2 linked regions of the Arabidopsis thaliana genome follow. The protein of the gene in region 1 interacts with the protein of each later gene in a pairwise test. Each region holds a gene or a part of one and is shown in the gene's direction. Other genes may lie near its edges.

Region 1 (6,247 bases):
GAAAAGTACAAAGAAGCCAGATAAAACATGTCGAGATCAGTAAGAGCTCCTGATTTCACCAAACGATGATCTTCATCTGAACCAACGAACGACAAGTGAAGCTTGCGAAGCACACGTCTTTTGATCTCATCTTGCTGAGAGTAATCCTCACCTGAAGCACCCTTTTTGACACGGCAATGACCATCTCCCCAGATCAAGACACAACCATCAGAGCTATTAACGTTGGACGCTAGCCAGAAAAGAGCATAATCCCAATCAGATCCTTCAACAACGTGACGTAACCCTTGTTGGAGATTGGAATCACTTGGTGGTGAGACAAGCTTGGACAAGGCAGTGTTGGAAGCTGAAGCTGTTGAGATGAAAAAGTCGCAAGCTTCAGAGCCTATGGTGGATTCAACCATCGCTCGATCTTCTTGATTCTCCCAAAACTTTTGACCCATTTCTCCTGAAACGTTCATTGACATGGAATATACAAAAATTAGGGTATGGAATCAAATAAAATTAAAGGTATTTGGATTGAGATCGCTGCTTACAAATGAGATAGAAGATGATGGGTTTCGTGAGGAAGAGGAACGAGAATCACGTGATTCTTGCTGAGACACCGAATTTAGGGTTTGTTGGTGAAAAAGCAAAATCCTTTATAAAGGATATAACTCTAATTTATATTGCTGAGAAAGGAATGATCAAAGAGAAGACAAAACCTGAGCTTGGTTCACTTCAGATCTGTAGTGACTTGTTCTGAAATTGACGAAGAAAGAAGAAAAGAGGAAGAGACTATGCGAGAGAGAGAATATGGGTTTAATCGTAATTTAATACCAAGGACATCATTTCCTTCAGTTTTTTAACTGCAAACTATACTTTTGCCTTTTCTTACATACCAAACCACAAGTCATTGTGGTGTAATATCTATTCAACTACAAGTAAACCCATATCACTGGATTTTTGTCGAGATTATGTGTACATGTTGGGAAATTATTTCGTAGTACAACCTATTATGATGGGAGAATCGAAACTCGTCTTCTGAATTAACTTATCGCAAATCACCGTTAATAAGCGGAAAAGGAATTTACACATCTTACAATTATGCGCAAATACAATTGTTAATTGGATGAGTCATGCCATATTCTTGAGATGGTATGATAGGTATCATTACACCATGTAGTCAATCACGATTTTTTTGGATAATGTGGTTTAGAAGAACTAATCGCGTCTAATATAGACAAACTTATTCGTTCAGCAAAACAACAATTCGATATTTTTATTCGATTGACATGAGTCTTATAAAATTTATCACTAGATGTCTAATAAAAAAGGTTCAAACATTTCTAATAATTCGATTTTCGACCAAAATAAGAAACTTTAAATTAGCATCAAACTATCTTATATGGTTGTTTCCTTGCTTAACCTTCTTCCAAATCAATTTTTCAAATTAGCATCAATAAGATTTTAAAATACATCATAATGTTGTTCCGATAGTGTGTGACAACACTAACCATTTATTCCTATACAAGTTTATTTACTTGCTAATTCATTTACTGAAAATGTCCATGAACAAAATACCTAAAAACGAATAACCATAACCCAACCAAATATTAAAGACATCTCCATCAAGAAGAAACCCAAACAGTTTTTCAAACAAAAAGAATATTAGTATTTTATTATAATTTTATATATGATTAAATTTTTATTTTAGCGAACCAATTGAAAAGAGAAAAATATTATGATGGTTTGTATAAAGTATTTCATAGTTTAACGAGAAACATTCTACACTCTCTTTCTTTTCCTTTTATTATTTTTATTATTTTAATAATAAAAAATTACCAATAAAAATGGTCTATCTTAGCTTTTTTTTCTTCATTTTTTTTTCCCTCAACCACCATTCAACAATTAACATAAAAAATAATAGTTTTTTAAGTTGAAGTTATAAGAGTCAATTTAGTTTAAGTCATATGCTTTAGTAATAAGCATGACCGTCTAATCCCAAAAAATCTAAAAAGTACAGTGCCTTAGAAATTTCCTTTACCTCGACTTCCCTAATTTTAATCTTCTCGGTCGGAACTTCTGAATAATATTAGTAGAGATCCAAAACCTCACAAATTTCGACCGAGTTTTGTTGAATTCCGATTAGATCTTTCTTCCACGAAACCCCCCCAAGTACCCATTCCATCTTCTCCGGTGAGTCTCCCATGTTGGCATTACGCTAGGGTTCTTCTTCTCTGTGGTTTCGCATAACCCAATAATCCAATTTTCTACTTGGGCATCAATGGGTCGCTCTCGAGGGAACTTCCAAAATTTCGAAGACCCTACTCAGAGGTTTGTTCCTAATTCACTACTCTAATTTCCGATTTGGGGTTTTTGTGGATTTCTCTTTTGTAATTGCCAATTTGTGCTGAAATTGATTTGAATTTCAAGTTTCTTTGAGTCTGTGTTGTGCAATTGTCATTGATCTCTAGTTGGGACAATGAGCATGGCTTCAAATTTGTGGCTTTTGATAACTTTCAGTAGCTATAGTCTCCTCTATCTTCATCTATGTAATTGTGCCAATTTCTGCTGAAATTGATTGATTTTGAAGTTTCTTTGCATCTGCTTTGTGCAACAATCATTGATTTTTCAGTTGGGACAATGAGCATCGCTTAAAGTTTGTTGCTTTTGAAAACTTTCAGTAGCTATGTAGTCTCTTCTCTGTTTTCATCTGTGTAATTGTTTTTTCACTGTTGAAGCTGACATGAAAGAATCGTGTTATGCGTTTGTTGCAGAACGAGGAAAAAGAAAAATGCGGCTAATGTGGAGAACTTTGAGTCTACTTCTTTGGGTAAAAAAATACTTATCAAGGTTTTTTTTTTTTGTTTCTCCTGTCAAGATTCTTCTTTTACTCAACATTTTTTATTTGTGGAGACAGTACCAGGTGCTGAGGGAGGAGGGAAGTATAACTGCGATTATTGCCAGAAAGACATTACTGGAAAAATTAGGATAAAGTGTGCTGTCTGTCCAGATTTTGATCTCTGTATAGAATGTATGTCTGTTGGAGCAGAGATCACTCCTCACAAATGTGATCACCCATACCGAGTTATGGTTAGTTTTCATTTACTTTTCTTACCTTTTAGTTTGGAAAGAGTTTGATTCATTATACTTAGCGAAAATATCTTTTGGTTGAATTCTACCAAAGCTTAATATATGTTTCATTTGCTTTGTTAGGGAAATCTAACTTTCCCGCTTATTTGTCCTGACTGGAGTGCGGATGATGAAATGCTTCTCCTGGAGGTACCACTACTTCTTTTATCGTACTGATATGAAGTCTATAATGTCTGATTCTTTCAGTGAAAAGTAATTTCTTTTAATGTCTTTATTCAGGGACTTGAAATTTATGGCTTGGGAAACTGGGCAGAGGTTGCGGAGCACGTGGGAACGAAGAGTAAAGAACAGTGTCTTGAGCACTACAGAAACATCTATTTGAACTCACCATTTTTCCCACTTCCGGTATGCTACATCGATCTGATAAGATACCTATCTACCTCAGTAGTGCCAGCCTTTTGCAAGGTATTAACTAATTCAGGAGAAACGTTTATTTTCCCAGGATATGTCACATGTAGCAGGGAAGAACAGAAAAGAACTTCAAGCCATGGCTAAAGGACGCATTGATGACAAGAAAGGTATGCGCTTCTTTGCTTGATGGTTTTGATTCTGCGTTGTACGTGTTGCTATTTTAATTCTGATTTTGAAGTGGTTTCTTCTTTGGCAGCAGAGCAGAACATGAAAGAAGAGTACCCGTTCTCTCCTCCTAAAGTCAAGTATGTTTCTCGTTCTTCTCATGTACTGTACAGTGATAACCCTATAATTTTCTCATCTTTTGTTCAATTTTCTTGCAGAGTTGAAGACACACAAAAAGGTGAGTTCTTGCTTTGTATGCTATATCTGGTTCGTATATAGGTGTGCTTATCGTTTTGTTATTTACTTGCTCTAGCTTACACCAGTAGTTATAATCTAGTTAACCATCGCGTAAATGGAATCATCTACTTGTAAAGTAAGAAGCTGACTGAGCATAATTTTAAAATCCAAAAAGGCCCAATATTTGTCATTGTATTTATACTGGTAGATATTTTCTCCCTTTTTCTATGTTTTGACATTCTTTGTGGTTAGAGTCTTTTGTAGACAGAAGTTTTGGAGGGAAGAAACCTGTTTCCACCTCGGTAAACAACTCTTTGGTTGAGCTGAGTAATTACAACCAGAAAAGAGAAGAGTTTGACCCTGAATATGACAATGATGCTGAGCAACTCTTGGCGGAGATGGAGTTCAAAGAGAACGATACTCCTGAAGAACATGAACTGAAGCTGCGTGTGTTGCGTATCTATTCAAAAAGGTACAACATTTAAGATCAAAAGGGGAACAAAGTCTCTTCTTTTTGCTGTCCATTCTGACGCAGGTGAGTATGATGTTTGTAGGCTTGATGAGAGGAAACGTAGAAAAGAATTCATAATAGAAAGAAACCTGTTGTACCCAAATCCCTTTGAGAAGGACCTGTCTCAGGAGGAGAAAGTACAATGCCGACGTTTGGACGTTTTTATGCGTTTTCATTCAAAAGAGGAGCACGACGAGCTACTCCGTAATGTTGTAAGCGAGTACCGCATGGTGAAACGGCTCAAAGATCTCAAGGTAAGGACATTGCTACCCTCAAACTGTGCGTTTGGTTTCTTGGATTGGATGTGGCTCACTGTGTTGGATTGGTGGAGCAGGAAGCTCAAGTGGCAGGGTGTCGTTCAACGGCTGAAGCAGAGAGGTATCTGGGAAGGAAGAGGAAGAGAGAAAACGAAGAAGGGATGAACAGAGGGAAAGAGAGCGGTCAATTTGGTCAAATTGCAGGGGAGATGGGCTCTAGACCACCTGTGCAAGCTTCTTCAAGCTATGTGAATGATTTGGACTTGATTGGGTTCACGGAGTCGCAACTGCTGTCTGAATCCGTAAGTGTCTGAGAACTGAGATACTGAACAGTGTGAGATGAGTTTTCTGTCGTTGTAACTGAAAGAAGAAAGCTCTTTGTTTTGCAGGAGAAGCGTCTCTGCAGCGAGGTCAAGTTGGTTCCACCGGTTTATCTACAGATGCAACAAGTGATGTCACATGAGATATTCAAAGGGAATGTAACGAAGAAGTCGGATGCATATAGCCTTTTCAAGATTGATCCAACCAAAGTGGATCGAGTTTATGATATGCTTGTGAAGAAGGGTATTGCTCAACTTTAAGGCTTGTGTAGTGTTGTATCATATATATATATGTGTGAGCTCTAATGAGTTATTTGTTGACATTCCCTTGTTTATTACACCTTGTCAAAATTAGTTTGTAATAGAAAAACGATTAAGTTATCCACAGATTGTGAAAAGAGATAAGGTGAATCAGAGCCACACAATCTAAACCAAATGTTTTAGTATATAAGAAAGAATCTGACTCCTACAAGGAAAGGAAGAAGTGAGATGACGATGATGTCTCTCCCCAAAATGAGACTATCTTGTCTGCAACCACACCTCCATTTTACCAGTAGCAGATCAATAGCAGCAGCTCTAGCTTTTCCAAGCTCAAGCATAAGGAACAGAACATCATGTCTTGTTCGGTGTGGCTCAGCCAGAAGAAGATTGACTACGAAAAGTAGCAGAAACAGCAAGCTTGAAAGAGCACAACCTCCTCCTCTGGGTTTGGAACGGCACTGGAGATATGCTGTGGTTGGTGGAGTCTCTGTAGGGTTGATGATGGTTTTGGTATTGGGAATGGATGCAGAGAAAGCTATGGCGCTTGGACCAGAAGGTCCTTTAATGGAAGAGTTTTGGGACAACGTTAGAAGGTACGGTCTTTACGCTCTCACGGTTAGCACTGGAGCTCTCTCTGCTGTCTTTGAGCCCATCTTTGAGCTCCTCAAGAACCCAATCTCCGCCATTCTCATTCTACTCATCTTAGGTGGTAGCTTCTATATCGTCTCTCAAGTTGTTTCTGCCATGATTGGTGTCAACGAATTCGCTTATCAATACAGTTATTGACCAACTATAGTTTGTTTTTGTTTTCTTCATTAATACTCTGCTTTTATGCTCTGTTTTTTTTTATCTATTTTAAATTTTGTTACACAATCATTCGACATTTTATTTGACATAAGTTACACCAAATCATTTACATTGTTAAAGCTTTTTAAAGATGGATATATACTTGTGTGCAAATCTTTGTCAGTCGTACTTGTGAGAATCCTCAGGCCGTCCGGCGACGTAATCCA
Region 2 (4,845 bases), on another chromosome or scaffold:
ATATATAGCCTAAAATCATTGACAATGTCATGAATATTTCCCTTGACTCCATGCCATGAAATGAAACCTATTTTCTTTGTTGTTCTCCGATTCTTTATAGTTTTCAGTCATATTTGGTGATCAAATTAACTGACTTTAGTGCCATAGAGTCTTCAGAAAAATTTATTGGTGTTTCCATGCATGCTTCTACACATTAGTTTCTTTTTGCAGGAGATTTGGACCCCACACAAAGTATTTTCACTACAAACACTATTCTTTCTCATTATTTTCCAACTTTTTCTGAATTGATCATAGGATTTTTGGTAAGCAACTTCCCTTCATATAGTAATTCTAACCACACGCAAAATTATTAAACCAAATTTCCGCAAGAAGATCATAAAAAACTGAATAAACAATTTAAACAAACATTGATGTACGAAGATAACATTTCTATCATATATGGTTTATATATAATAACCTACTAAAACAGCCAGGGATTGAAATTAAGCTCACTAGTTTTTATTTTCTTCACATAAAAAAAAAAACAAAATCACTATATCGGCAAGTTAAGTTTTCAATCATTAAAACCTAAAACTAACCACCCAACCCACCAATGATTAAAACTATATCCCAGTCCCAACTAATCACAAATTTAAGGTAAAGTGTGTTTGAATCATTTTTTAAGAATTTTAGACAAGCTTTTTCATTATTATCTTCCTTTTAGATAACTTACACATTTATATTAGCTTAATATTTTGTTTGTTTTAGTTTTTAGCTAAACCATATCATTCATGTAGAGAGAACCACCCTAACTGTTATGATCTATTCGACTCGTATTAATTCTCATCAATATAGCAAAATATTAGGATTGATCGATCCACATATTTCAGTTCACCCACTTTAATATATTTCAAAGACAGTTTGTAAACATTTATTACGGTTTTCGTAGATCTTGAGTATTTGAATAAATAATGATATGATTCTTTGTATCTTGTACAGTTGCTTATTTGAGTAGACATTAATTACAAATCAAATCTGTTAGCATAAAATATACATATATCGCCGTTTTTCTTCATTTGTAGGAAACCAAATAAAGAATAAAAGGCATATGGCACTGATGGACTAAACTGGCATAACTATGCTACGTGTTTAATTGGTACAAGTCGCTCAACCTGAGGAATCGAGAAGTTGTAGATGATCACTATGTGACATGTGTTGCACCGAAAAAGAGTGACTAGTGACGATTGACGATTCGTCAACCTTTTTCTCCGAAGATATCTCCAACGTTATGGTTAATCCCATGATTTGGTTTAAGTATACTTACCGTTCAGGTTTTATAGAAAATACTACTCGAGATTTGGAACGATCAGTAAATGTTATTCCAGATTTAATATAGTAGAAATTGTTTGTTTTCACTTTTCAAAAAGATGGTTTTCAAAATTTAATTCTTTTTAAAAATAAGAAAATTGATATAAACCTTTTCAATATTGTTACATTTATAGTCATTGTTTTGACATTAATGTTTTCATATTGAAAGCAAAAGGAAACAAGATGCAATATTTCGTATATCATGAGTTTTTCATTTTCTATAATATTTGATGAATTAGTCCAGAACCAGCCTGATCCTTGTAGTTCACATGGTTTGAGAGATCAGCTCCGGCTCATGGGTTCAAATTCAAGCAAGGAGAAGAAGAAAGGAGTTAAGACACAAGAGCCTAGCTAAACGACTATCGTCATGAACCCAAAACCGGATGCGGTTTAACAAAAACCGAAGGCGTCTCCACGTGGACAACAACTTAACACCTGAGCCTAACACGCGAATACATCGAAACACCGACACGTGTTCTGTCTTCCTCGTAAGCTTCTTTATGTTCAAAGTGTTCTCTCTTTCTCTCGGCCCCATGTATATAAAGCGGTGCTCTCTTGATCCACCGAAACGAATTTTGAAAAGATGACTGAAATCTACAGAACAATTTCAACCGGACGTGGAGACGACGTTTCTCCGACTAAATGCCGTGAACGTCGTCGTCGGAGAATTGAGATGCGGAGACAAGCGGCGGTTTTCGGCGAACCTAGTTCGTCTAGGAATCGTGATCGGACGGACATGGAAGTTTACTCAAGTTTTGACGTTCCATTGAGGAAACAAGCTCGGAGGTCAGAGATCGGTGGTCTTCCGGCGGATATCGGGGGCTTTTTGGCACCTCCGGCGGCATCTTCTTGCCAAAAATCGGAAGCGCCGGTGTGGAAGGGAGAAGAAACGGAGGATGAGCCGTTGTACGGTATAGTTTCGGTTATGGGAAGATCTCGTAAGATGGAGGATTCGGTTACTGTTAAACCGAATTTGTGCAAACCGGAAGTTAACCGGCAAAGACCGGTTCATTTCTTTGCGGTATACGATGGCCACGGCGGTTCTCAGGTAAGAAAATTAACCAGGGGTGGTTTGGTCATTTAATATAAAGATGCTGATGTGATGCGTGGACAGGTGTCAACATTGTGCAGCACGACTATGCACACGTTTGTCAAGGAGGAGCTAGAGCAAAACCTCGAAGAGGAGGAAGAAGGAAGCGAAAACGATGTCGTGGAGAGGAAATGGCGGGGCGTGATGAAACGGAGTTTCAAGAGGATGGATGAGATGGCAACGAGTACATGCGTGTGTGGGACTAGTGTGCCGTTGTGTAACTGTGATCCGAGGGAGGCTGCGATTTCGGGTTCAACGGCGGTCACTGCGGTTTTGACGCACGATCATATTATTGTAGCCAATACTGGTGACTCACGTGCGGTGTTGTGTCGAAATGGAATGGCTATTCCTCTGAGTAACGATCACAAGGTGGTGTTCTTGTAAAGGTTTGAGAATATTGGAGTTTCTATTTTGAAGTTGTTGAGTTTTTTGCAGCCGGATAGACCAGACGAGCGTGCGAGGATTGAAGCAGCTGGTGGTCGAGTTTTAGTAGTGGATGGAGCTAGAGTTGAAGGAATTCTAGCCACGTCCAGAGCCATAGGTATACCTTTCTCAATTCTCATATTGTAGTAAAAGATGATTTTAGTTGATAGTGTTGAAGATGGCAAGGAACTAGAGCCTATAAGGGCAATAATAATCATTTCGGATTTGGGGTTTAGGGTTTTAAGTTTACTAACTAAGGTACTATGGATTGGTTTCATTTGGTGCGAGTTCTTTTGTTGATTAATTCTAATTCTATTTTCAAAGATGTTTTATAATTGTTCCTTTAAAAAAAAAATATGTAAATTTTACTCTCTTTTTTTTGTCAAAATGTTAACTAGAAATTTTACATTGGTCCTAATAGTTTAACATTTGACAAAAAAAAAAAAAAACAAAAAAAATTATATTTGCAGCATTAACTAGAAAACAAAAATAATTGAATCATTTTACGAAAATAAAAAATGTGGGCATTCATACAAACCATCTCATGGATTAGAACGGGAGAAGTATTTTTCTTAACTTCAAAAGTATTTAAATGTGTCTTATCTTTGTATCTTTCATTGTTTGATCATTTAACCAACTTAAAATTTATTTCGGTTATACAATTTATTAGACTAAACATGAAGTTTTAGTATGGAAATTGTTCCTAATGTTGTGTTACAATTCATGGAGCAGGGGACAGGTATCTAAAACCAATGGTAGCATGGGAACCAGAAGTAACATTCATGAGAAGGGAATCTGGAGATGAATGCTTAGTATTAGCAAGCGATGGGCTTTGGGATGTACTCTCGAGTCAGCTAGCTTGTGACATAGCTAGGTTTTGTCTCCGCGAAGAAACTCCCTCGAGCCTTGATTTAAATAGAATGGCTCAAGAAGACGACAATGACGGAGAACAAAATCCTTCAAGGAGTGTATTGGCTGCAACGTTGCTAACGCGGTTGGCTTTGGGTAGACAAAGCAGTGATAATATAAGTGTGGTCGTCATTGATCTCAAGAATAGCTCTCAGTAAAACTAGTTTTGGATCCTTTTTTTGGTGGTTGTGCAATTAAGTGGTTAAACCAAAGAATAAGATGTTGATATAGCGATGAGCCTTAATTAGTTTTAGGGTTTAGCGCCCGTCTTTGTTTTGTTATGAATTGGGGTTACCAATACACATTAACACCGGCGAATGTGAAAGGAAAAGAGAGTTGTTTGGATATGGGCTACAAGGTTATTTAGTGGTTTGGCCATGGGCTATTAAGGGTATTTAGTGGTTTAAACAATAAAATAAAAGTTAACTTGAGAGAATTTGTTCTCTAATTTTGTTTGTTGTATGTGTGTGATCATTTTGAAGTTATTGATCGTTTAGCTATTTAGGTGGTATGTGTGAAATAAATAGATAAAATAAAAACGTAGTACTGCTTTGGTTTTGTTCGTTGTAGTTCATTAGACGCCGGTCTTGGTCTTTTATATTTTTTTGATGGACTGATCATTTCCAATGGTTAAAGTCATCTCTGTCTACAAATACTTACATTTTGGTACAACCTGAATGAAGTGAATTTAAGGCTGAGATTTTGAACCAGCCCTAACCCTACTCAACCGTGCAGTTTTATATTTGGTTCAACAATGCTATATAGGCTTTTGGGCCAATTACCAGATTGTCTTTACTCTTTAGGCTTTAAAGGAAAAAAAAAAGAGATGTGCAAAAGAATCAAAGAGAACAATTCAAGAAAGAGAGACAAAAAGACAACTCTTATAGTTCGATGGAAATGGAACAATTCGAACAGGTTTGACGAATACAGAGTTTTGGTCCTAAATAAAAGGGAGATCAAGAATCAAGAATTGTCTTTGAAGTAAAACAAAAAGCGTGAGATGGAGAATGTTCTCATGAATAATTCTTACATTACTTTTTGTTCTTTTCTTTTTGGGTCATTATCGTCTCAGTGTT

Evidence for each region. Proteins that work in one complex are often made in the same cells at the same time.
Region 2: the proteins of ADA2B (region 1) and AHG1 interact in binary tests that used the Arabidopsis thaliana proteins (3 or more experiments, as listed by UniProt).

The regions. Positions count from the first base shown.
Region 1 is NC_003075.7:9,261,792-9,268,038, reverse strand, and holds ADA2B (ADA2 2B), read left to right. Parts: upstream 1-1,881; 5' UTR 1,882-2,263; coding exon 2,264-2,313; intron 2,314-2,756; coding exon 2,757-2,812; intron 2,813-2,899; coding exon 2,900-3,072; intron 3,073-3,195; coding exon 3,196-3,261; intron 3,262-3,351; coding exon 3,352-3,477; intron 3,478-3,574; coding exon 3,575-3,650; intron 3,651-3,739; coding exon 3,740-3,788; intron 3,789-3,866; coding exon 3,867-3,886; intron 3,887-4,137; coding exon 4,138-4,357; intron 4,358-4,439; coding exon 4,440-4,650; intron 4,651-4,730; coding exon 4,731-4,955; intron 4,956-5,042; coding exon 5,043-5,234; 3' UTR 5,235-5,418; downstream 5,419-6,247. Other genes in the region: AT4G16430 (basic helix-loop-helix (bHLH) DNA-binding superfamily protein), read right to left, coding at 1-440; AT4G16410 (uncharacterized protein), read left to right, coding at 5,463-6,020; AT4G16400 (uncharacterized protein), read right to left, coding at 5,937-5,973, 6,211-6,247. UniProt on the Arabidopsis thaliana protein: Required for the function of some acidic activation domains, which activate transcription from a distant site. The exact mechanism of action is not yet known.
Region 2 is NC_003076.8:21,024,986-21,029,830, forward strand, and holds AHG1 (Protein phosphatase 2C family protein), read left to right. Parts: upstream 1-1,889; 5' UTR 1,890-1,930; coding exon 1,931-2,395; intron 2,396-2,461; coding exon 2,462-2,806; intron 2,807-2,872; coding exon 2,873-2,978; intron 2,979-3,592; coding exon 3,593-3,927; 3' UTR 3,928-4,203; downstream 4,204-4,845. UniProt on the Arabidopsis thaliana protein: Negative regulator of abscisic acid (ABA) responses during seed germination.